Linked DNA regions of Schizosaccharomyces pombe. The protein of the gene in region 4 interacts with the protein of the main gene of each other region in a biochemical or structural test. Each region holds a gene or a part of one and is shown on either strand. Other genes may lie near its edges. The genes, in order: apl4, rho3, vas2 and sip1.

Region 1 (6,803 bases), on a different chromosome or scaffold from region 4:
AAAATAAGATATAAAGAGCTGCAATAAGAGCGATACCAATTATGATAGAAAACCAAAACGCAATATTTCCCAGCAGTCTATGTCTTCGAACAAACTTCTGTCGCTGAATAATGATATACGGGATTTGAGTCATTTGAAAAAACAAACCGTAACCGCGGATTTTTAAAGTGATACATCCCATAACAAGTTCATGTAATACAGAGGAGACAAAGAACGTGAAAAAAGTCGATAAAGACTTTGACATGAAAGAGTTGAGGGGAACATAAACGTGGCGAAGGAGAAAGTAATGAACGGGCTTATTCCAGGTTCGGGCAAATTGATCCCAAGTCCAGCAATTCCACCAATCATCATAAAAGTTTCTATCGGCAAATCTAGTAATCTCTGCGCTGAAATTACAAACTCCTTCAAAAATGACCCAGAACACGAGGAGGAAGCTAAGCATAAATGGGAACATCAAAAATGCTACAGTATGGCCTAAACGTATAGCAAAATAAGTAGCAGATGCGTCTTCAGGAGCTTCAATAATGGTTCGAATGGCTTTAGCAAGTACAGGAACCATGAAATGATCAGAAATAATGACCAAAAGAAAGATACAACCAAACGTTCCCAAAGCGCATTCAATCAAATAATGAATTCGCACATGGGCGGTTCTTGGGTAGTATAATTGATAACATAAGCTGGGCATGAAAAGGAAATCCAAAGCATTTGGTATGGTTAAATTTTCCGGATAAGTATTACCATGATGGTTGAGACAATGTTCATAAAACTCAACTGAGGATCGTTCATCATCATCAAGATCGGTTTTTTTTGACTGAAGCTTATTTAACGAATGATAACAATAAGAATACCAACCGTTGACAACGTTATAGGAATGAAGCTTCATAAGGATTACCATAGAATGAAGAATAAACATAGCACGATGCGTCCAGGACCAGTTGCTAAGACAGCAGCGTAAAACACAATGGCTTAAAAAAAGTAAAATAAGAATGGAATAGAGGTAAACGCCTAAACCATACCACCGCAGATATCCCAAAGCAAAAATCTTTTGGAAAGGAAAAGCAAGTAGAAACATTGAAGACATAGCAAGGTCTGCCTTTGCCAGATCTAACAAATTAGACTGAAAGTATTTAAAAATAGTGCCAACAACTGGTCTTCCAGTCAATTCGAAATTTTCTAAAAAGCTCATGAAAATCATAATAGAGACAGCAACCCAAAATAACACAAAAAATCCAGTAAAGTCTACCGCATTACGTTGATAATTACGAGCAAAAATCGAGGGAGTAGGAGATAATTCCAGAGGTCGGTAAGCGGCCCTAGACCTTCGAAGGTCAATTTTTGAGGTTTCAGAAACACCTTTGAACGTCTGTTCCAAGTTGACATCCGATGGTTTGGATTTAGCGGGTGTTGCAGCAATCATCTTTAAATAACCAGCAATTAAAGCAACTAAGTGAATATATAACAAAAAAGATAAATATATAAAGAAAAAGATAAAACAAAAAAATAACGTAAAATCAGCAGCTACGTATCGCGAACAGTATCAAAGAAATTGAAAAAGAAGCGGATATGAACGTAGGAAGATTAAATTTATTTTTTGCTTCGCTTCTAAATAAAAAATTGAGGAATGAAAGCAAGAAACTTAGAAATGTAATCTATTGATGGAAGTTCCAACTTGGAATTTCAAGATGACAGAACTGGTATGACGAAAACTCCACAGTCGTGATTCCAAAAATAAAAATTCTATGCCAAATGTTCCACTATAGAATGGAAGTAAATAAAAAGCTCGAACTCCTAAGCAATTCACGTTCTATGCGATTTATGTAAGGAAAAGCCAAGTCTCCAGTTTCAAAATGAGCAAAGGAGTTGATAAGTTAGAATTGCGAGCTAAGACGATGAACCACCTGATCTCAGCAATATCTGCAATACTACACCACGTTATGTAAAATTTCGTTACGTATCACTATATATCACATGTCCTATTCATTTATCCGCTATATGTGATACGACATTGGCACTTGCTTATTGTAGCTTATTACCAAATGACTGACAGGTACAAACAAAAAAGAATGCTCAATCGAACCTTTTTCCCTTAGTTTACATATTATGAGCATTTCAATAATAATTTACAATAACACCTTAATACCCGATTTTCGCGTTACCTGCATATCGCAATATAGTAGTGCACAAATACAACTCACTGTGATTTAACGTGCCATTAAAACTGGTTACAAACTGCATAGTTAAGAAGCAAAGCCACATAGCGTGGTCAAGAACGAATAGAGAAACATAAATTCCAGATATTGCCCATCAATTAACAACTCCATATAGCAAATTCGATAGGATAATTCAAAAATTACACAGATAACCAAAGGAAGCTAGGTATTCTTTTAATTTGTGCAGTATTGGTGAATGCATCAGTTTTGAGCGTCGTTTAAAGCTGCATCCTATTTTGTTAAGTGAAATTGATTTGATTTTCATTGTTTTATATATTCTGTGTTTAGATTGCGTTTTTCTGTTTGCTTTCAATACATCTCATAGAAATGCAAGTTAATATTTACTGGAATCAATTATAGTAGGAACGTAAAATATCTCAGTGAATATTGGTACGGATGGAAAGATAACTTTAGTATTGCACATGGATTTTATTAAGAACCTCTAATAAGGGAATGTGTATTAAACGTAATATGATTACTGAAAAGCACAAAAACCATACCTAAAAAATATTCAACTCTTAGCCATAGTACACCTTCTTAAATGTACTTGCAATAAGTGGTAACATAATATTAAGTTAATCAATATAAATGGTATTTACATCTGCTTAATAAAAACTAGGAATTATAAAAAAAGACACTTCAGCTGACTTAACGTAACACAGCAGCAACAAAACAAATTAAAATTTATTTTATTTAAAGCATATTTTTTAGTATTCATTATTGATAGATTGACGAAAGAGTCGCAACGTTAAATTCGTTTTAAAGAAATTTACCGTGCAATACCCTACCGCATGTACAAGCAACAGCCAAGTAATGCAAACAACACATCCAAAGAACCTGCATCTTACTTGTTCGGGAGTGGAAAGAGGTTTCACCAATTCCCCAAAGACGCATCCAAAGATGTCAAGTTTAAAATCTTTTATAAAGGCTGTTCGGGCATCCAAAACGACTGCTGAGGAGCACACAACGATTCTCAAAGAGTCGGCTCAAATCAGAAAAAACATTCGTCAAGGTTCTAATGACATGCGTATGCGCAGAAAAAATGTTGCCAAGCTGCTATATTTATTTCTACTCGGTGAGCCGACACACTTTGGTCAGATTGAATGTTTAAAATTGTTGTCGAGTTCGCGATTCATGGATAAACGTTTGGGATACCTAGCAGCTATGCTTCTGTTAGACGAGAACCAGGAAGTTTTGACGTTATTGACAAATTCTCTTCAAAATGACTTGAAATCTAGAGACAAATTTATTGTGGGGTTGGCATTATCTGCGTTTGGTAATGTCGCTGGCCCTGAGCTTGCAAGGGATTTGTCAAACGACATAGCCGAACTTTGCTCTAACCATCATAATTATATATCAAAGAAGGCTGTTCTCTGTGCACTTAGAGTAATTCAAAAAGAACCGGATTTGGAAAGTTTATATATTGAGAAAACCGATGAATTGTTACATTCAAAAAGTCATGGTGTTTTAATGGCTGCTCTTGCTTTTGCCATCAGTGCTTGCAAAATAAATCCGTCGCTAATATCCCGATTTGAAAGTCAAGCTGACGATTTGATTTATCGTATTCGTCAATTGTCCACTAGTACTTACTCCTCTGAGCATAACATTGGCAATATATCTGATCCGTTTTTGCAAGTTAAAATCCTTCAGTTTTTGTCAATACTTGGTCAAAATAACCCTAAAATTTACGACAAAATGAGTGATCTTTTAGCTCAAGTCTGTACTAACACTGATTCCTCTAGAAATGCAGGTAATGCTATTCTTTATCAAGCTGTGCGTACCATCCTTGATCTTAATTCTGACAGTAGCCTTCGAGTTTTGGGGGTCAATATTTTAGCAAAGTTTTTAGGTAATCGTGACAATAACACTCGTTATGTTGCTCTTAATATGCTGAAACTCGTTGTAAATAGTGAAGAAAATGCAGTTCAGCGTCACCGATCAACTATCCTTGCTTGTCTTAATGATGTCGACAGTTCTATTCAATCTCGTGCGCTTGAACTTTCTACATTTCTCGTTAATGAGGCGAACGTTCGTTTCATGGTGCGTGAGCTTTTATCATTTCTTGATAACGTTTCTGATGAATTACGTGGATCCACTGCTCAATATATTACAGAAGTCACAAATGCTTTTGCTCCCAATAAGCGATGGCATTTCGATACCCTTCTACGAGTCTTCAAATCTGCTGGCAACTTTGTCAGTGAATCGACTCTTTCAACGTTTTTACGACTCATAGCTAGTGCTCCTGAACTTCATGAATATGCTGTGGTAAAGTTGTACGCTGCTTTAAAGGAAGATGTATCTCAGGAAGCTTTAACTCTTTCTGCTTTTTGGGTAATTGGAGAATATGGTCAGATGCTTCTTTCACCAACAATGAATTTTGATGATGATCAAACCCTTCCTCATTCTGTTTCAGAATCTGATATTGTGGACATTATTGAGGAAGTATTTAATAGCGTTGAAGCATCTAGGTACATAATTGTTCAATATGGTCTTTTCGCTCTCACGAAGTTAAGTGCTCGTCTAGGTTCTTCTTCTACTGCTTCTCGTATTGACAAGATAATTTATTCCTATAAGAGAAACAAGAACACCGAGGTGCAACAAAGATCTGTCGAGTTCCACCTTATATTAAATGACTCCAAATTGAGCAAGACAATTCTAGAACCAACTCCCGCTCCTCTGCCTCCTCCTAGGACCACGCCTTATCAAAATGCGGAGCAAAAGCTAAAGGCTAACAAACACGTAGAAAAACGTGTTCAGGAAAGCAACGAATTGCTAGACCTCATTGGGTTAACTACCCCTTCTGTTGCTGAGCCCTTAGAAACACCAGTGGATGAAATGACTCAAAGCCCTCAATCCAGCTTAAGCCGCGCTCCTTCTACTTCCAAAAAGAGTCATTTTGAAGATATCCTTGGTTTATTTGCTTCTCCGGCGCCTTCAGCTCAACCGGTTGACAGCTTGGCAAGCAGCTTTGCTTCTTTGGACTTTAATGCTTCAGCCAGCCAACCATCAAACAACTTGTCTTTGCTTTCTTCCATACCATCAACTTCCAAATCATACCCTCCTATTGTTGTATTTGATAAACACGATGTGACGTTAACTTTGGTGCCATCCAAAGAAGAAAGTACCAAAACAGCCGTCATTGAAGCTAAATTTAAAAATAAAAATCCAATGACTAGGGTTGAGAAAATACATCTAGAAGTGGCAGTTCCCAAATCACAGAAACTGAAAATTCAGCCCTTGAGGACTACAAGTATGGAGCCTGGTGGAGAAACTTCTCAAACCCTGCGGGTTCATGGGCCATCGGGTTCTCAAGTCAAACTGCGTCTACGTATCTCTGTGGTCCGACAAGGTGGATCAAATACTCTCGATCAGGTAGATTTTGGAAAGTTGCCATCTGACCTTTTACAATAGTATCCGAAGTATGGACAATGCCATTTAAAATATAACGCTCGAGCTATCAAAGAAGATTTCTGACATGATCCATGCTACACTTTTTGATGGGTCTAGTCAGTTTTACGAGAAAATGTTCGTAGAATAGTGAATAATGAGGTAATAGAAAATGAAAGCTCTAATTGTTTTTATGAAAGAAAATAGGTTTTTTTTTATATAATTTTAGCAATTTTCTCGATATGGAATCATGGTATACTTATTGGATAAGTTCACTTATGTAATTTTCAAATTGAGACTTGCTCATTCTTTATTGTATATCATTGAACGGAAATTTGACCTTCCAAACCCTTCATTAAGAAGTGGTCGGATTTAGAATTAAAGCTGTAATATTATTTTAATAGAAGTGCATACCTCCAATACAATCGCAACTAGAAAAGTATAAAATGTAAAATCCTAAACTTATTTCCTTTAACAATTGATCAATGCAATAATTAAGCCTATGAATTATATATTAACTAACAGAGAGTAAATCCAACATTAGAAAGCATTAGTCTTGCTTTAAGCTTTTTCAGTACTATGCGCACGTTCAGAAATTAACTGTTGTATATAAAATGCTATTGCATTTTGATTTTGTGTTTCCAGAGACCGCATTCGCTCTTTTAAATCTCTTTCTAAATCCCATGTAGGCTTTTTAGGTCGCAAAGTTACCAAATCTAGTTCTTCAACAGGAACAGAACTTTGTTCTTCAATTTTTCTCTTAGTCTTTTCTTCAATCTCCTTCGATAATGCTTCAACTGATTCAATCATGTTTGGCGGTTCCACGAATCCCATTTTAGGTGCCTGCACTTCTGGATCATAATTTCGATGCTCAATTACATTTTTTTGAACCTCTTGAGAATCGCGAGTTTTATTCTCTAACTGCTTTATTTTCCTCAATTCCGCTAATCTCTGTTTTCTGGACTCTGCTACCTCATCTAATGAAGACATTTTTTGTTCCAATACAAAAACACAAAATTCGGAAAAACCACACTATAAAACCAGAATGAATGTAGTAAGATACTTTTTTTGTAGTAAGTAATAAGATTAATATCGAGAGATGTTAAAATTCCTAGAATTAACTAGAGTTTGACAATGCACAATAATTCCAGTTCCTAATCAGCAGTATCAAAAAACAAAAACAAAAATTGAGTGTGTAATTTTATA
Region 2 (5,557 bases), on a different chromosome or scaffold from region 4:
CGAAATTCAATTTTACAGAAAATGTACTTTGCAGAGTTTACATGGGTTCCCAAGTTCGCTGATAGTTTAGATGCAAAATTGGTTTTATGCGATGCTACAAATTTTATAGACCGTTGTGTATAAGAACCCGAAAAGACATCTCAATATAAACATGCTGCTACAAAAAAGTTACGAGATTCGCAAGTTGACAGATTCAGCAACGCATCCTAAGAGAAAAATGAAAATGATGCAAAGTAAATTTATTTTTTCTGTAAAATGTAAATAGTGATTGGACCACGTTCTTCGTAAACAAGATCCAACCATCCCAATATATTGCTCATAAAAGTTTTTTCATTGTCATGTCTTTTTTTGTACGCAATATATAACTTTGTGTTCTTATCCATCAATTCCTGAAGACTTGCCTCCAAATCAGAAAAGCTAGATTCATTGTACATGACATCTGACATAACAATATAATCCCAATGACGCCGAAATTTTCGAGGAATGTCATGTCCCCATACTAAAATATCAGAAGTTATGTTGTTGCTCATTGCAGACTTATTCTTTTCAACATTTTTTTCCATAAATTCAATCGCATCTTCTGTATCGGTCATTGACACAAGAGCACGTGGATATTTGCTAGCAATACTTATACCAACAATTCCACATCCGGAGCCTAGTTCTAAAACATTGATGTCTTTTCTATTGGAAAAGCTATAATGCCAATCATCAGAAAGAATCTTTTTTGAGAAAACTACGCCGGCATCCCACAAGTGCTTAGCAATACTGTTACCCATCTGTTCGAGAAACCAGAGACCATCGTTTGGTGACTTTTTTTCTGGGCCTTGGATATACCGCCATACCATATTAGGTAAAGTAGATTTCGGTGAAAAAGCTTCACTCCAAACTGGTAATACAGTATCGGCATTTATGTGTATAGAATCAACGATTGAATTCTGATTTTCTAAATGCAGCGTCAATTGAATTTGCTGGTGACTAGCAGGAAAATACAAAGTCGTTTCAGCCGCGTGACCATTCCCTATCCATGAAACACATTGCTTAGAAATTGTGATACGACTGTGAGATTGTTGTCTATCCAATGCTTCAACCCTTACGGTTGCATCTTGCGGATATGAAACTTCGCCCAGATCAGAAGTTATCGTAAAAACCACTCGTAAAGCGTATTTAAAGGATTCTTCGAGCTTTTCTTGGAGTCTTAAAATTCTAATATAATAGAAAGTCATTCAAGCGTCCAAATACTTTAAAAATCCTTGGAAAAATAAAGAAAAGGGGGTCTTACAGAAATTTTTTTAATGATCTATTAACGTTCAGTTTCCCTTTAAACCACATTCACCAATCAATGAAATAAACCACTAGCAATGAAATACAAGTTGGTTGAAAAATTTTTTTTTTCGCAATTTGAAAAACTAAAATTCTCTGAAATATCAGATTATCGCCGCAATATGAGAGAGGGTAAACTGATCGTAAAAGCAAAACAATTGAACTAAGTTGTTAATTCATGCAACCCGGTAGCAATCATCATGAAAATAATCTCTGAATTGTTGTAAGAAAAACGCATGGTAGCAAACTTAAGTCGCAAGCAGAGCAACGAGTCATAACTGATAATACGAATATTCACATAAGGAAATGAACTTTATAAACACTCAATTACAAATTTGAGGGCATAAGCAATTGCACTAACACTTTTTTACATGTTGGTTTATTATGTGTTTTGCTGACTTTCCTTTTGTTTGTTACTTTTTTGTTGTTACCAGCGCACCTAAACGAGAAAACGTGTATTGATCCCTTCACATTTTAACCTCACAATACAGAAAATGGAGAATCAGGTGTCCAGTTTTCTAATTGATTCTCCAATGGAATGGAAGACTTATATGAAAAGCTTGAGTGATGATAATCCCAGCTTTGGGGACGTAACAGTTAATTTGACGAAAATTAGCGTATCTTCAAAAAATGCAAAAAGCTACGCAGAAGAAATGTATAATTATGTAACTCAAGAGATGGTATTTATCAGTGAACGTAGTAGACTATTATTGCGCGCAAAAAGAAGGTTGTACAAAAATCAATCACTTATGAAAAAAACGTCTGTGTCAACCTCGAACACAGTAAAGATGGTATTTATGTCACTAGCAAAGCAAATTGAACAAATGCTCAAATTCTGTATGATGGTTTACAGCAAATTGTGCGAGGCGTTTGAAACAACGTTAAAGGTAGCGAAGGAGTTTCAAATTTGCGATTCTTCTCAAGAATGGTTTTTCCAATTCCAATTGGGTTATCATAGAAAACAGATGGAATTACAGATGCTTTCTTTTGTAGCCGAATGGCTTGTTTTAACTCAACATTATACAGATGCTCTGAATGACTCGGCAAAAACACTTTACGACATAATGGAAAGTAGCCATAAAGCGGCACAAAAAGTTTAAAAGCATATTCAAATGTCAAACAAAATTTTCTTCTTTTAAAGGTGCTATTCAATTCATGATTCCAACAGTTGCTGTGCAAATTAAACTATTATCATGAAACAAACCACGGTAAAGTTGGTTGTACTATTGTGTGACTCCTTTTTCAAACTCATCAAAGTACGATTTTCAATTAAATTTTAAACTTTCAATTGAAAGGGTTGCCTCAAAATTGACAAGCCCTTGGTCAACTTTCACTAACTGGTGCTGTTGATTTTCTTCCTATTTAGCAATCACGTTATATATACCGTGTATTTCATTTTGAGACTGAGAGTAGACTTCCCCAATATATTTTAGTAAAACTATCCTTCGAAGGTTTTGTTCATCAATGAATTAATGCTTTACTCATCAAAATATATTATGAAACAATCCTACTTGCGAAGTTCATTCTGTATTACGTATTTCCGTATCTCTTTTAATAAACTGGTTCGCATCGCCTTAATTATTCTAAATTTGATTGTTACCTGAAATGTAGAAGCCAATCTACAGCGCACAAGGACATGTATGTCCTTCGCTAAGCAGTAAGCTGGGGTCTTGCGTAGGCTTTAGCTCATGGTACAAAATTCGTACCTAAACCAAACACCTCTAATCCTTTATTATACAGAAACCATTGAAAAACCCATAGAAAGCTTGATTGAAGCTCATTGAAAGTATGTCAAGCTGTTTCGGAAGTAAAAAGAAGCCTATTTATCGGAAAATCGTAATTCTTGGTGATGGTAAGGATCTTGGTGAAAATTTTGTTTTTTCTTTCGTGATTTTCGCAGCTAAGCATTCTAACCGTAAATTATAGGTGCTGCTGGTAAAACCAGTTTGTTAAATGTATTTACTAAGGGTTATTTCCCTCAGGTATACGAGCCTACTATGTAAGTATCATTAATAGTGCAAAGCTGTAAACGGCGGAGCGGAAATGAGGTTACCGTCTGCAATATCAAGTATAACTCAATATGAAGCATCTTTTTTTGCAAACCTTTTATCTAACGGGTTAATTTGTGGAAATTTGTTTCATTTCTGAGGAAAACGAGAATGCCCGAGTGTGCTCTCCATACAGTCACACTCGTACAATTTCTCATGACCAAACGTCAAATTGCTTTTACTATGCTTGACCTGTTAAGGGTTTTCACCACTTCTTTACATGATTATCTTCTTGTACTTAAAAACTTTTTCCGTTATCTAACACCTAAAAATAGATTTGAAAACTACATTCATGATATCTTTGTCGATGGAAACAGTATAGAACTGTCTCTATGGGATACAGCTGGTCAAGAAGAGTATGATCAACTGCGTTCGTTATCATATTCAGATACACATGTTATTATGATCTGCTTTGCCGTGGATTCACGAGACTCATTAGAAAATGTAATCACAAAATGGCTTCCGGAAGTCTCTAGTAATTGCCCTGGTGTTAAATTGGTTCTTGTTGCTCTAAAATGTGATTTACGTGGAGCTGATGAGGAGCAAGTTGATCACAGTAAAATTATTGATTACGAGGAAGGACTGGCAGCGGCAAAAAAAATCAACGCTGTACGATATTTAGAATGCAGCGCTAAATTAAATCGTGGCGTAAATGAAGCTTTCACGGAAGCTGCACGCGTTGCCCTTGCCGCGCAACCAAGAGGTACAAAGGATGGTGCTGATGAATCCCATGGTACCGGATGTATCATTGCTTGAAAGCACTTTCTTTTGAAAGCGCCTAAAAGTCTTATTTCTAATGTTCGAAGTTTATTATTGTATATGACGTTAGTGTGGGTGTTGCGGTGGCCTTTGAATAGCGTTAACCTTTTTTCAATGGTTTGTACTTTTGACTTTTATCCCCTTTGCTGTTCTCAAGGTTTTAAATTTGACACTTGGGGATTCTGTCCGTTTCCAATGAGTTTATCTCCTTATTTCAGGTGTATTGTCTATCTTTCTTACCTTCCTACTTGAAACAGCAGGTATTTGTACAATCGTGAAAAAGAGTGTTTGCAGTGAACCTTACTTTCCTTCTTTTTTGAAACTTGTACACTTTGAGTTGTTCAATTCTCCTTCTGTTCGTGTAATCGTTGAGTTGCTAATCTAATCAATTAATCTACCCCTTTTCTTTTACGATAAGCATACTGTTGAGCAATAAGGATTAGTCTTTCGGTTGTAAGACATGGGTCTGAGTCAAATCCTACCGTTTTAGAAAGCACCTTAAATATTTATGTAATATGAAGTGTTACCCCTAAATATCGTAATTGAAGTTAAAAATTGTAAAAATTTAGACTACCCAATATGTTGTATTCGTGCATCCGTGCAACCCTAATTCAATTTGATCCATTTGAAAGTAAAACAAAATTTATTATGTCTTTATCCTTTAAATTAAAGATCCCAGTCATCCTCATCGTCTTGAACACGTCGATTGATCTAATTAAACAGTTAAACTCTGGACCATGTAATATAAACAGATGTTTTTTTTTGATATTTCTCTCCTCAGATGAATTTGAAATAAAAAAGGAGAGAAGGAATTAGTAAGGCACTTACCACAATTTTTGTTTCATTACGTTTGGAGACCTCACCAGAAATTTTTTCTAACAATTCGATAAGTTCGGGCTCTGAGATTTTATGAGATATCTGGCCCGTTTTGGCCATACGTAACAGGAGCTCTTCAACAGCTACACAAATTAGACACATGTTTACATTATTCGTAAACAGATATTAAATTATTATCCGCCGCAGAAAATGAAATCACACTTACCTTCAGCACGATCTTTTCGTACCAACGCTATACGACGAAGTCTGTCTCTTGCTGGGTGTTCCAAAATTTGAGAAAGCTTATGAAATTGTTAGTCGGATATGGACCATACACATCATAAACATACTAGATTTTGTCGCATTTCATCTTGTACCTCCTGTTGTTGCTGATTGCTTGATGGACCTGAAGCAATATTACTAGATTTGTTAATTCTTGTAAAAAAAATGGAGTATATAAATAAATTAGTTTCTAAATTCACTATCGGATTTCCTTTGTGTAATTTTAAAATGATTCATTAAATCTCGTCATTTACCAACATAATCCTTCAAGTGAATTCTAATAAAAAATTATAACTTTCAGTCGTAGAGTTTTGAAGTTTATATGCAAGTTT
Region 3 (4,415 bases), on a different chromosome or scaffold from region 4:
AAGCAAGATTGAAGCTACAATTTCTGAACCAGAGCAAATACCATGTCCTGGGTTTGGTAGCGACAATATTGTTCCGCTGTCACTAGTGAATGACTTTAAAGATGGGGCGTTCGTCAATGTATTAGTTGCAATACAGTGGAAAGAAGAATTCGAGATATTTAATAATGAAACAAAAAAATCTCTACCTAAACAAACGATACACGTACACGATATTTCTGGATCAGCCATGATCGTGTTGATAGGAGAGTCCCAAGTTAAATCCGCTCTCAGTTGGAACAATGAAACAAGTATGTAAAGATTTCTATTCAGGTATGTACCTACTCACCAAAATTTTTAGTTTTGTTGATTCATAATGCAATTGCCTACCGAACCAATACCGGAATGCTGGAATTGTCAATTAAAGATGCAATAATTCAAACACTTCAGTCATTTGATGGTAAAGTTTTGAAACTATTAAATTTTTCAATCAAAAGAAAAGAACTTATTAAGATAAATGCTTATAGATTGAGCACCCTAGAGGCTCTTGAAAAAATAGCCAGCCAATCTGGAGAAGCTTTTGGGCAGGTTGGCGTTTTAATAATGCAAAGTAAAATTAAAGATTTAACAAAAGAAGGGGGATTAGTTTATGGCAATGATTTGACAGGTTTGAGATTTGCAGATTTAATAAGCATAATTGTCGATGAAACTGGAAGTGTTAAAAACCCAAAATTTAGTCAAAAGCTTTTGGAAGAAATTACAAATATAGCTCCTACGGAGTTAAGTGTATTGAATGAAGAACAAGCAATGCATCTAGAAAACGTCTTCCTGTATAGACACTATCGAGTTTGTGTTGGTTTTCTGAACAAACAAATTTACGTGTTTTCAAGTGATGAACCCTTAAAATCATACATTTAATTATTAAATTAAATACTCTTAAGTTATTAACATTAACATTAAATCAGCATATTGATTCTGTAAAACCAGACTTGATTTGATATGCAGCAGACACTAATAAACTGAATTAAAAAAAAAAACGAACATATAAGGCTATGATATTAAATGAAGTGTCAACTTTATGCTGTAATTTTTCTTGGATAACTCAATTAATTTTTGTATTACATTTAAATCGTGGGTAAATAACAGAAATTAATCAATTTAAGTCTAAAAAATATTTATTAGTATTTGACAGTTCTTACGATAATTTTCTAAAGACAGTTTAAATTTGTGACATTTTCGGATCTCTAACGCATATTATCATTCCAAATCCCATCTTCATTTACATAACTCTAAAATGTCAGAAAAACCTGACCTTAGGCAAAGATGTTCTGATATATATCGTGAAATAAAGGAAAAGAAATTAACTGTGGTAAAGCAAGGTGCAGAAGCAATCACGATAAAAACCGAGTTTTATCCAGGTGAGGTTTGTCTTTTGAAGTGCCGACCTGCGAAACGATGGAGACATCCTATTTTAGATCAGAAATTATCAAGAAAACGCTGCTTAGTGGAAGCAAGACTTTTAGCAAAATGTCATTACGTTGGAATAAAATGTCCCATGCTGTACTTTATAGATGCCAATCGTGGTCAAATATATATGGAATGGATTGATGGACCTTGTGTACGAGATTATATTCGAGAGATCTGCGAATGTGAGATTGAAAAAAAACTTATTCCTTTAATGAAGCGAATAGGATCAGAAGTTGCGAAGATGCATAAGAATGATATCGTTCATGGAGATTTGACAACTAGTAATATGATGCTGGAGTCTCACAACAATCCGGTCCCAATTTTTATTGATTTCGGTTTAGGAAGCGTTTCCGAATCTGAGGAAGATAAAGCTGTGGATATTTACGTCCTAGAGAGAGCTTTATCAAGTACTTTACCAGAAAGCGAATCTTTGGTATGTTAACTATTAGACTTAAAGCACTTAAATTCTAACTGTTTGAAGTTTCATCATGTTTTAGACTCTTATGCCCAAAGTTGGAAACAATCTAAGGCAACACTTCGAAGATTTGAAGAAGTACGAATGCGTGGCCGTAAACGTACCATGATAGGATGATGTTCTAAATACTAGTCTCTAGAAAATTTTTTATAAAAAATCTTTCATTTATTGTTTAGTCTTTATGGTATCCTTCATATGGTTTAATTAGTCTATGGACCTTTTGCCGATGCCCTATGTATTTAGTTGCTTTAGAGTTGGCACACGCACTACCTAACTACCGCTATCAACACCAAGCAATAGTGAGCGTTAAGTCAATCTTGGCAGTCAACGTTAGATAACTGTTTTGTTTCTGATTATTTATTACCTTTTTTTTGTAACCTTTATGAGCTTTCGTCCATAGCGGTTACGAATTGAAACATCGTTTACCTTATAGTGTCAATCCCCTTTAAAGCAGCGTATAAGCATTTAATAAGCTTTTATAAGATGTCTATAAAGTTCTTTCTACTCGTAAGCCGCCAGGGAAAGGTGCGTTTAGCTAAATGGTTCAATACTTTGTCAATCAAGGAGAGAGCCAAAATAATCCGTGATGTTTCTTCACTGGTGATTACACGAAAACCAAAAATGTGCAATTTTGTTGAATATAAAGGTAAAAAAATTGGTATTTTTATTCAAAATATGAATTAACTGTATTTGTCTTAGGCGAAAAAATTGTTTACCGACGATATGCTTCCTTGTTTTTTGTTTGTGGAATTGAACAGGATGATAATGAGTTAATTATATTAGAAGTCATCCATAAGTTTGTTGAATGCTTAGACAAATACTTTGGTAATGTACGGCTTTCCCCCTGATTTGATTGAATTTGAATTGTACTTTTATTAACCGAGTAGGTTTGTGAGCTTGACCTCATTTTTAATTTCGAAAAAGCATATTACGTTATGGAGGAATTACTACTCGCAGGAGAGTTACAGGAATCTAGCAAAACAAATGTTCTTTCTGCAGTTCTAGCTGGTGATGCAGAATCGGAAGCTGATGCCCAGCAAGATAGCCTCCAAAAACTTGTGGGCAGCGTGAAGAAGCGTTAAAAATGTAACCGGTAATTGATTTCACTTTCTGTGATGAACGGGTTAAAAAAAATAGCTCTCTTCCATTTTATTACCGATTTCACTTTTCATTACAATTGTGTGTGTGACTGACATAGACCTAATTTGCATGTATCCATACACCGAAGTTTATCTTGTATCACGTTGATCATTTCGCAATAATCTGAAATGTCGTCGTTAATAACGCTTTACGACATTAAAAATCTTATGTTTTTTTTAATCATTTTCACATTGGTTTTAACAAACTGTGTTCATAGATGATATTCAGTATTGATATAAACCATCGACACTGTCATTCATGTCTCCCGTTTTACATGTTCATTATAACACTGCTGTAGTTTTGAATATTTACATTTTGCAATACCAAATAGCTAATAGTCATCGTTCACCCAGCTTTATTATAAAAGTTTAAATATATGGTCATCTACTACCGTAAATTAAAATGTACATTTGCTTGAAATTTTCCTTAATTTGATCAAATTTGAAAGAATTGTATTTTATTTGTTAATAAATCGTCTAATATTTGTATATCTTACTCACTCGTCCATAGTCATTCATACATTCATGTAGGCATTTTGTTATGTCATTGCAATTCCACTACTCATAAAACTAACACCTACTATATATTGTCACAGTTATTTTATCTACGTTTGTTACTCGAGTTCTCAAAATTGGTATTATTATAGTAAACATATTACAGTTCCAGTTTGAAGATTTTCACTACTACTAAGGCTAACTAGTTTTACCATTTACACCACAAAATTTTATGCATGTCTGTCGATGAGAGCAATTCGGACAGTGAAATTGATTCGATCAGCTCGTCTGATGAAGATGAAGAGCCTAAACTGATTTATGAAAGAATTACTGAAAAATTTCAAGGATGCTTTATGAACGACACCATATCTGCTTGTGCAATCTCTAAGGAACATTTTGTAAGCATCGTCATCTGGTTTTATTCATATAATTTAACATTTGTGTATAGTTTTTTGGTTCGCATAATGGTGCAATTTACATTTATCAGAAAAATGGTATTTTATTACGAAAAATGATACTGCACTCAGCATCTGTAGTAGATCTTTCTGTGGACCTTGAAAGCGAAAATTTAGCTTCATGTTCTATGGATGGTAAGTTAATATTGTTCTTAATTAGTACTGATCTTTATTAGGAAAAATGATCATTTCTAATATTACTACTCGCGAAACTACTGTTCATGATTTCAAGCGGCCTTTATTGAGCGTCGCAATTGATCCATACTACAGTACTAGATCATCCCGTCAGGTTCTTTCAGGAGGACGAGCTGGAAAAGTTGTACTTTCTGAAAAAGGTATGCTTTTGGATAGGAGCGTGCGCCCTTATTTTACTCTTTTACGTCTAACGATAAATTTAGGGTGGTTAGG
Region 4 (6,106 bases):
CGGTATCTTCATCTAGGTTGTTTTGTATATCTTGTTCGTTGGATCTTTCAGAACTCGAAGTATTTTTTATGCCGACAAGAAAAAGTAAAATATTTACCCATGAGTGTATGTCCGAATCTTTGTAATCGTTTAGCCAGATATACAGTATGTTCTTCAAAAGCTTGTTGTCAGGAGTGGTGTCGAGTGATTGCCAAATAAGCCTATCAAAATGTCGCTTATAACATGATTCCGAGAACTCATGGTTTTGAAGCAATATTTGGTATAAAACTTCAATAGAAATTTCCCTACGTTTAGGTTGCTTTAGGTCAATTATGTTACCACAAAGCTCCCTAATGAAGAAATCAGAATTGGTTTCTAATGGTGTAAATAGATATAGGTGCTGATAACATTTGTAAACGTGTATAATGTTATCTCCCGTATCTCTACTAAGTAAAAGCAATTGGTGAGCTAAATCGAATGCGAAATGCGAAGTAGAAGAATCGGATCGCAAGTTTGGTCCAAGCTCATTTATCAAACAATCCAAGTAATTGGCAAAAAGAGTGGACGGGAAAAATAAACTGTTTCTCTTCTTTAAGAGCTGAACATCAATATCACATTCTGGCAATAGCATATAGCTCAATAAAATGCGTGTCTGGGCAGTTAAAACACTCGGAATGGTCTTTGCGATAGACCCAAGAGAAACGGAAGAAGCACGAATAGAACACTCTCTAACAAGGTCATTCGAATCAGTATTAAAAACTTTGAGCAGCTGATAAGCGGTGATGAGGGTAGTTTGGGGAACTCCGGAACCAACCTTTTTTAATATATGGCCAACGGCTAGAATCAAGACAGCCCTGCAATTTGGATCTCCCGACTCTGCAGCACGTTTAATTATTGTATCCAAAACGGACGTCGGTTTGCTTTGATATAAATATGCCAAAAACGCATAAGATTTCGAAATGTAAGGAATTAACTTCGGATCGTTAACAGCAGTCAAGTTTTCGAGCAATTCTATCATAAGGGATACAACCTTGTCAGGCAAGGTAACTTTTTTGTTATCGAAAGCAGAGAGAAATCCATAAATGGAAAATAAAGTATTTGCTGTTACTGCCTTGTAACGTAAAATATCTCTCCCACTCTTGAGGTTTGTCACAGACGCTACCATAATTTCGAGAGTGCTCTCCATAACCTTCGGAGGTTGATGACAAAACATAGACGCAAATAACTGGATCGCGTTATCAATTAAAGAAGTTAAAGACGGGGGTACGTAAGGAAGTTTTGCAGAGTTTGATCTCGAAATCACTGACAGGGAATCAGAAGATGACTCGCAAATATAACAAGGAAGTATATCATCCATGGTTGTTTGAAATTCTTCCTCTGGCTGAGCGTAAAATCGTGAACCAATTCCAGGTATAACTCTTGGAGAAGTAAAGGCTTTCGCTTGAACTATTTCGTCCGCAGTATCATATCCTTGTAAAGAAGAAAGTTCGGCTATAGTAGACACAGTCGTGGATAGTAATTCTTGATCATCTAAACTCATTCCACTTAACTGAGACAACTCGAAGAAACATTGGAAAATCCGAGCAAGCAAGAGAGAGCGAAGTTCCAAGTGAGAATAATCTGAAGCGGGAATTGGCATGGTAATTTCAAGCCTTTTGGTTAACGAAAAAGCTTTGTAGAATTTAAGGCAGTTATTTAGGAAAATAATGACTCGCTTCCTAACATCAGGTGTGAATAAAATCTTGTTATACTCCAAAAACGAAAGCAAGCACTGTAACGCTTCAAACCGATTAAACATGTCTGCATTTGTCTCCATGAAATTTTGTGAATGTATTTTTGAAGGTACTCTGGAAAGGGCATTCTTCCATAAAATTAGCAATTGGGACAATTGCATTCTAGTAAAAGAAGGACCAAAAGAAACGTAAGCGCTTAATAGTCGCCAACCAGTCTTGATTTGTGCTTGTGCCGCTAATAAATCCAATTTAGATGATGACTTAATCAAATCCAAAGAGAAGTTAAATAACTTTGAAAATATAGAAGAAGCAACATATAGAGGATTTTCTTCGGCGGCAACATAAATCGACATCAACGACAAAGTAAGATTATTGAAAATACCAACATTCAATTTGGGACTTACTTCCTTAGGTTTAGAACGAAGGTGCTTAAATTCCAACTCTAATCTATTAAAAAGAGCAAGCAAAGTGGGCATTAAAGGAGAAGGCATAACGGATAGTAAACAGCGCAGCAACCAGGCTACTTCATTCTTCAATGAATCTTTACCCAAGTATAGAATCTGTAGTGTAGTATCTAGTAACTGACTATATAAAGCAGTAGCCGAACCCTTTGATCGGCTTAATATATCAGCGGTGGAAGCCATCGCAGTCTTAACAGCAATTTCCGAAATCTTCGACTGATCTTTTAAATAAGGCTCTAACACTCTCTTTAAAAGTATTTCAATTCCCTGCAATTCAGAGCTTTGATCGAGAAATCGCCTTCCAATCACATCGCGAAACAAGTATGTACAATGATATTGCTCCAACGAAGACAACCATTCTTTTGAAGTAGAGTGTGATTGGTGTAATAGAATAATATCCACTATAGTAGTGTAGTTGAGAGAAACAAAGGATGGACGTTGCATTAGAAAAAGATGCTTAACGGCAAAAACAAGAACCGCTTTTGAGCTTTCATACTTTGCATGCTTGGAGTGATAATTTTCGACAAGAATCCGTAGGGCGTGACGAAAACTCTCAGTTTCATCAAAACGGCGAGTAGTAGACCGATTTTCTACTTCCTCATTGTTCTCATCATCCGCTGGAGTTGAGGGTACTGCGTTTGCAGCGGCTTCAATCGATTTGTCAGCTTGAGCACTTGCAAGTGCAGAAAAGCATCTTCCTAAAGAAGAATGGAGCAAAGAATTATCAATTGATGATTTTTTAAATAGAAAAGATTTGAACCATTCCAATTCTGAATTACGAAGACGTGAAGAGCCCAGAATGTAGTAAGCGCAACGAAGTGCAGATAAAAGAACATTCGTTGATGAAGTGTTTAAATTTGATTTAATACATTTCCATATTTCTTTTATCAAATCTTCATTCGTAGACTGAATAGATGTTTCAATGCATTTCGACAGTCCATCTAATGCGATTGAGCGAACTCCATATGACAAATTGGTTTTCGAATATTTGAAGAAAAATCTTATAAAAGTCTCTTGCTGATTGATCTATTAAGGTTAATTATAAGTTTATAGAAAATATCCAAAAGAGTAATACCTGATTTCCATATTCTTCCAAGCAAGAAGTCAGAACGGATAAAACGTTACTACCGGTTAGTTGATATTTCAAATATTCTAGACATACATAATCTCTATATAGTCTTTTTTCTCATGAATGCTATCCACGAAGTAAAGTAAAACTCGATGCTGATGATAACCCTCGACTAATACTTGTTAACATATACCATTTTCCATAAATCTCACATACGTCCTTTTAAGAGTGCAATTATACAGTTAGAAAGAAGTTTTCTAGTTGGATAAGCAATAAAATTTCCATATTTTTTGATTAACGAAAGTAGGGGATTTAAATTAGTTTGTAATGAATCCTCGCGAGTATTTTTGTTCAGATTCCTCAATTGTTTTTCGTAATTGAGTAAATCAATATATATGGTCTCCCTCTTATCTACATCAGCTACTTTCGTCAACTTTTCGAGCGGCAATGATGCTAACGACATATGTGGAGCGGCCAAACCAATTTCCCTAGGCTAAATCTATATACATTGAGTTGCGAGGTACTGAAATCTGCAGTCGACATTTACACGATTTACAATAAATTAATAATCAAATAGTCTATAGATAATATATTTATTATTATCATTATAATTAACCACTTTACTTATCAACCACGAACACAAAGATGTTTTAAATTGTAGGAGACTACTAGAATGCAATAGCCATTCCGAGTATCGTTAATTTTAAAATTAAATAAAACAACGAAAAGTCATTTATAGATTTAGTTTTGAAATGGACAAAAATTTTGTCTGAGAAGGCAAAAATCACAGCTCAACGCTAGTATGAGCATCTGCAATGCAAACAATTATTATGCTATTCATAATGGTATTTCCATGTACAATAAGAACAAGGGGTCTCATGATCAGAAGGAGTACTAATAAAACTTAATATTTGCATATTTCCATAAAACCTAATTGAACATTTTCATAAACAAAGAAGAAAACACAAAAAAAAAGAAAGGACAGATATTAATGAAGAGCTCGAAATGCTTTGCTGGCCATAACTCACATATGGGAGAGATTAGTATCAGTATAATCATCGCGCTTGTTATCTAAATTAAATGAACCTAAATTATCAAGCTCATCTTGTTTTTCTTTTTTTCTGCTTCGTACTCCAAGTCCAAATGGAATAACCAGCACTAAAAACCCTGTAAAAGCCATCACCACACCTGAAAAAGAAAAGGAAATTAATAAATGAAATTTCAAATACCTAGTTTGAACTATAAATATACTTACCTGCTGCTTTTCTTATTTGGTCCCATTTCTGCCTCTCATTTTCAGCCCTCAATTTACCTAACGAAACGGCTAATAAATTGTGTAGTTCAACAATTCTTGCACTCAATTGCTGGACTTCATTCTTTGTATCATTTTTCCGATTTTCAAACTCCATTTTGCTTTCGGTATTAAGCTTGTTTAACTGCTCGTGAACCAATTGTTCCAAACTTTCTACTTCCCTTTGGTTTGAAAACAAGCCTGAACGTAACGAACTGATTTGATCTTTTCTCATATTTATTTTCTCTGAGCGAAGCTCCGACAAAGCTGTACGAAACAAATAGGAGCACTATACAAGTTAGCTATGACAGTTCATTTGAAAGCAAAAAAAACCGTCAATCTATAATTAAAGATAAATTTAAAGACGGAAGGATTCTGTAGCTTAATAAATCATACGTACATTTTCAAAATCAGCTTCAGACAGGTAATTGAGATGACTATGTCGCAGCATATCAGTAACAAACATATTCGTGACTTCGAGAAGACCCTCGGCCTCTTTTTCTGTATATCCTTTATCCATTAAAGTTTTCAAAAATGTAAATGTGTTGAAGTGATATCCTTCAAGGTCTCTGAAAGGACGATTTTCGTGATTGGCATTTACTACTGAAAGACCCTTTTCCATTTCACCTGCATCTGTCCCTTCTGATGCATAAAATCGAATTTGCTTCGTTAAGGATAAAGAATAAGGAATTAAACGAAAAGTATTGATACTATGCACTTTAATCCCATGCAAGGTAATTCGGGATCGATTAACATCTATAGCTTTTCGTAGCAAAGAGAACATTTTGTCAAGCTACCAAATTTTGATTATAAATTAAGCAACTTATTAACAGACATAATTAATTTTTGTTAAAAATTGGGTACGATGATTGTGGTGAATGTTAAATGTACATATCAGAAGGCGTAAAGGAGTAGTATGGGTGTACCCATAGAAAATAATAATGATGAAAATGCATTGATAAGTGGTTTTGATTATTTCCTTATAAGGTTTAAAATGTTAAAGGATATAAAAGAAAATATTTCTACAATTCTAATTATACGTCAAATTGAACGAGGGCAGTGAAGCTTTATTGTTATTCAGCATCTTCAGGAAATTTGACAACAGAACTTCCGAAGCATTGGATCAGGACAAAGAGCTGATGAGTAACAAGTAATATTCCACTTAGCATAAACCGAGGTGCAAACACTTTCCAAACCATCAAATGGCGACGAAAAAATCCAGCAAAGAAGACAGTACTCGTCGAGATCAATAGGTTATAAAGAATGAAAGAAAAGGAGAATCGAAACAAGTTTATCAAGAATCTATTTTTCTTGGAAAGTGGTTCGAATGAAAATAGTGGAATCGAAATGCAAGTAAGTATCGGCGCACCGACCGTATGCAAAAACATGAATATAGCGCTTATAGCCTGGTTTTCAGCAGATTTTGAATGAATGAATGCAAAATTCCAATCAAGAGACGATATAGCAGCCTGATTTCCCGTTGTAAAAAAATGCGACAATCCCAATAAACCTAGCGTTACCGAAAAGAAGTTGTGACCAACACTTGGCTGCCATTGTTTAAGTTGAATAAGAA

The links.
Region 1: the proteins of sip1 (region 4) and apl4 form a complex in vitro, tested with the Schizosaccharomyces pombe proteins (2 studies listed by BioGRID).
Region 2: the proteins of sip1 (region 4) and rho3 form a complex in vitro, tested with the Schizosaccharomyces pombe proteins (one study listed by BioGRID).
Region 3: the proteins of sip1 (region 4) and vas2 form a complex in vitro, tested with the Schizosaccharomyces pombe proteins (2 studies listed by BioGRID).

What each region holds. Positions count from the first base shown.
Region 1 is NC_003421.2:2,398,957-2,405,759, forward strand, and holds apl4 (AP-1 adaptor complex gamma subunit Apl4), read left to right. Parts: upstream 1-3,040; 5' UTR 3,041-3,110; coding exon 3,111-5,621; 3' UTR 5,622-5,847; downstream 5,848-6,803. Other genes in the region: acyl-coA-sterol acyltransferase Are2, read right to left, coding at 1-1,417; protein Cwf18, read right to left, coding at 6,159-6,587. UniProt on the Schizosaccharomyces pombe protein: Adaptins are components of the adaptor complexes which link clathrin to receptors in coated vesicles. Clathrin-associated protein complexes are believed to interact with the cytoplasmic tails of membrane proteins, leading to their selection and concentration.
Region 2 is NC_003424.3:1,038,427-1,043,983, forward strand, and holds rho3 (Rho family GTPase Rho3), read left to right. Parts: upstream 1-3,022; 5' UTR 3,023-3,108; coding exon 3,109-3,172; intron 3,173-3,246; coding exon 3,247-3,319; intron 3,320-3,553; exon of another isoform or gene 3,554-3,643; coding exon 3,644-4,124; 3' UTR 4,125-4,657; downstream 4,658-5,557. Other genes in the region: efm6 (methyltransferase), read right to left, coding at 240-1,223; karyogamy protein Tht2, read left to right, coding at 1,815-2,420; SPOM_SPAC23C4.09C (chaperonin-containing T-complex associated protein), read right to left, coding at 4,794-4,838, 4,956-5,086, 5,170-5,245, 5,294-5,363. UniProt on the Schizosaccharomyces pombe protein: Involved in controlling cell shape and septation. Regulates cell separation by modulating the function of the exocyst complex. Involved in post-Golgi vesicle transport. Involved in driving sexual development in a palmitoylation-dependent manner.
Region 3 is NC_003424.3:1,618,118-1,622,532, reverse strand, and holds vas2 (AP-1 adaptor complex sigma subunit Aps1), read left to right. Parts: upstream 1-2,186; 5' UTR 2,187-2,401; coding exon 2,402-2,564; intron 2,565-2,617; coding exon 2,618-2,748; intron 2,749-2,805; coding exon 2,806-3,000; 3' UTR 3,001-3,050; downstream 3,051-4,415. Other genes in the region: protein meu32, read left to right, coding at 1-287, 338-894; bud32 (serine/threonine protein kinase), read left to right, coding at 1,271-1,876, 1,925-2,035; HOPS complex subunit Vps41, read left to right, coding at 3,789-3,950, 4,001-4,142, 4,184-4,342, 4,406-4,415. UniProt on the Schizosaccharomyces pombe protein: Component of the AP-1 complex which links clathrin to receptors in coated vesicles. Clathrin-associated protein complexes are believed to interact with the cytoplasmic tails of membrane proteins, leading to their selection and concentration.
Region 4 is NC_003423.3:1,333,323-1,339,428, reverse strand, and holds the start of sip1 (Pof6-interacting protein Sip1 AP-1 accessory protein), read right to left. Parts: upstream 3,719-6,106; 5' UTR 3,706-3,718; coding exon 3,459-3,705; intron 3,415-3,458; coding exon 3,336-3,414; intron 3,298-3,335; coding exon 3,249-3,297; intron 3,200-3,248; coding exon 1-3,199. Other genes in the region: SPOM_SPBC27B12.07 (uncharacterized protein), read right to left, coding at 4,267-4,430, 4,498-4,822, 4,934-5,317; gpi13 (pig-O family ethanolamine phosphate transferase), read right to left, coding at 5,607-6,106.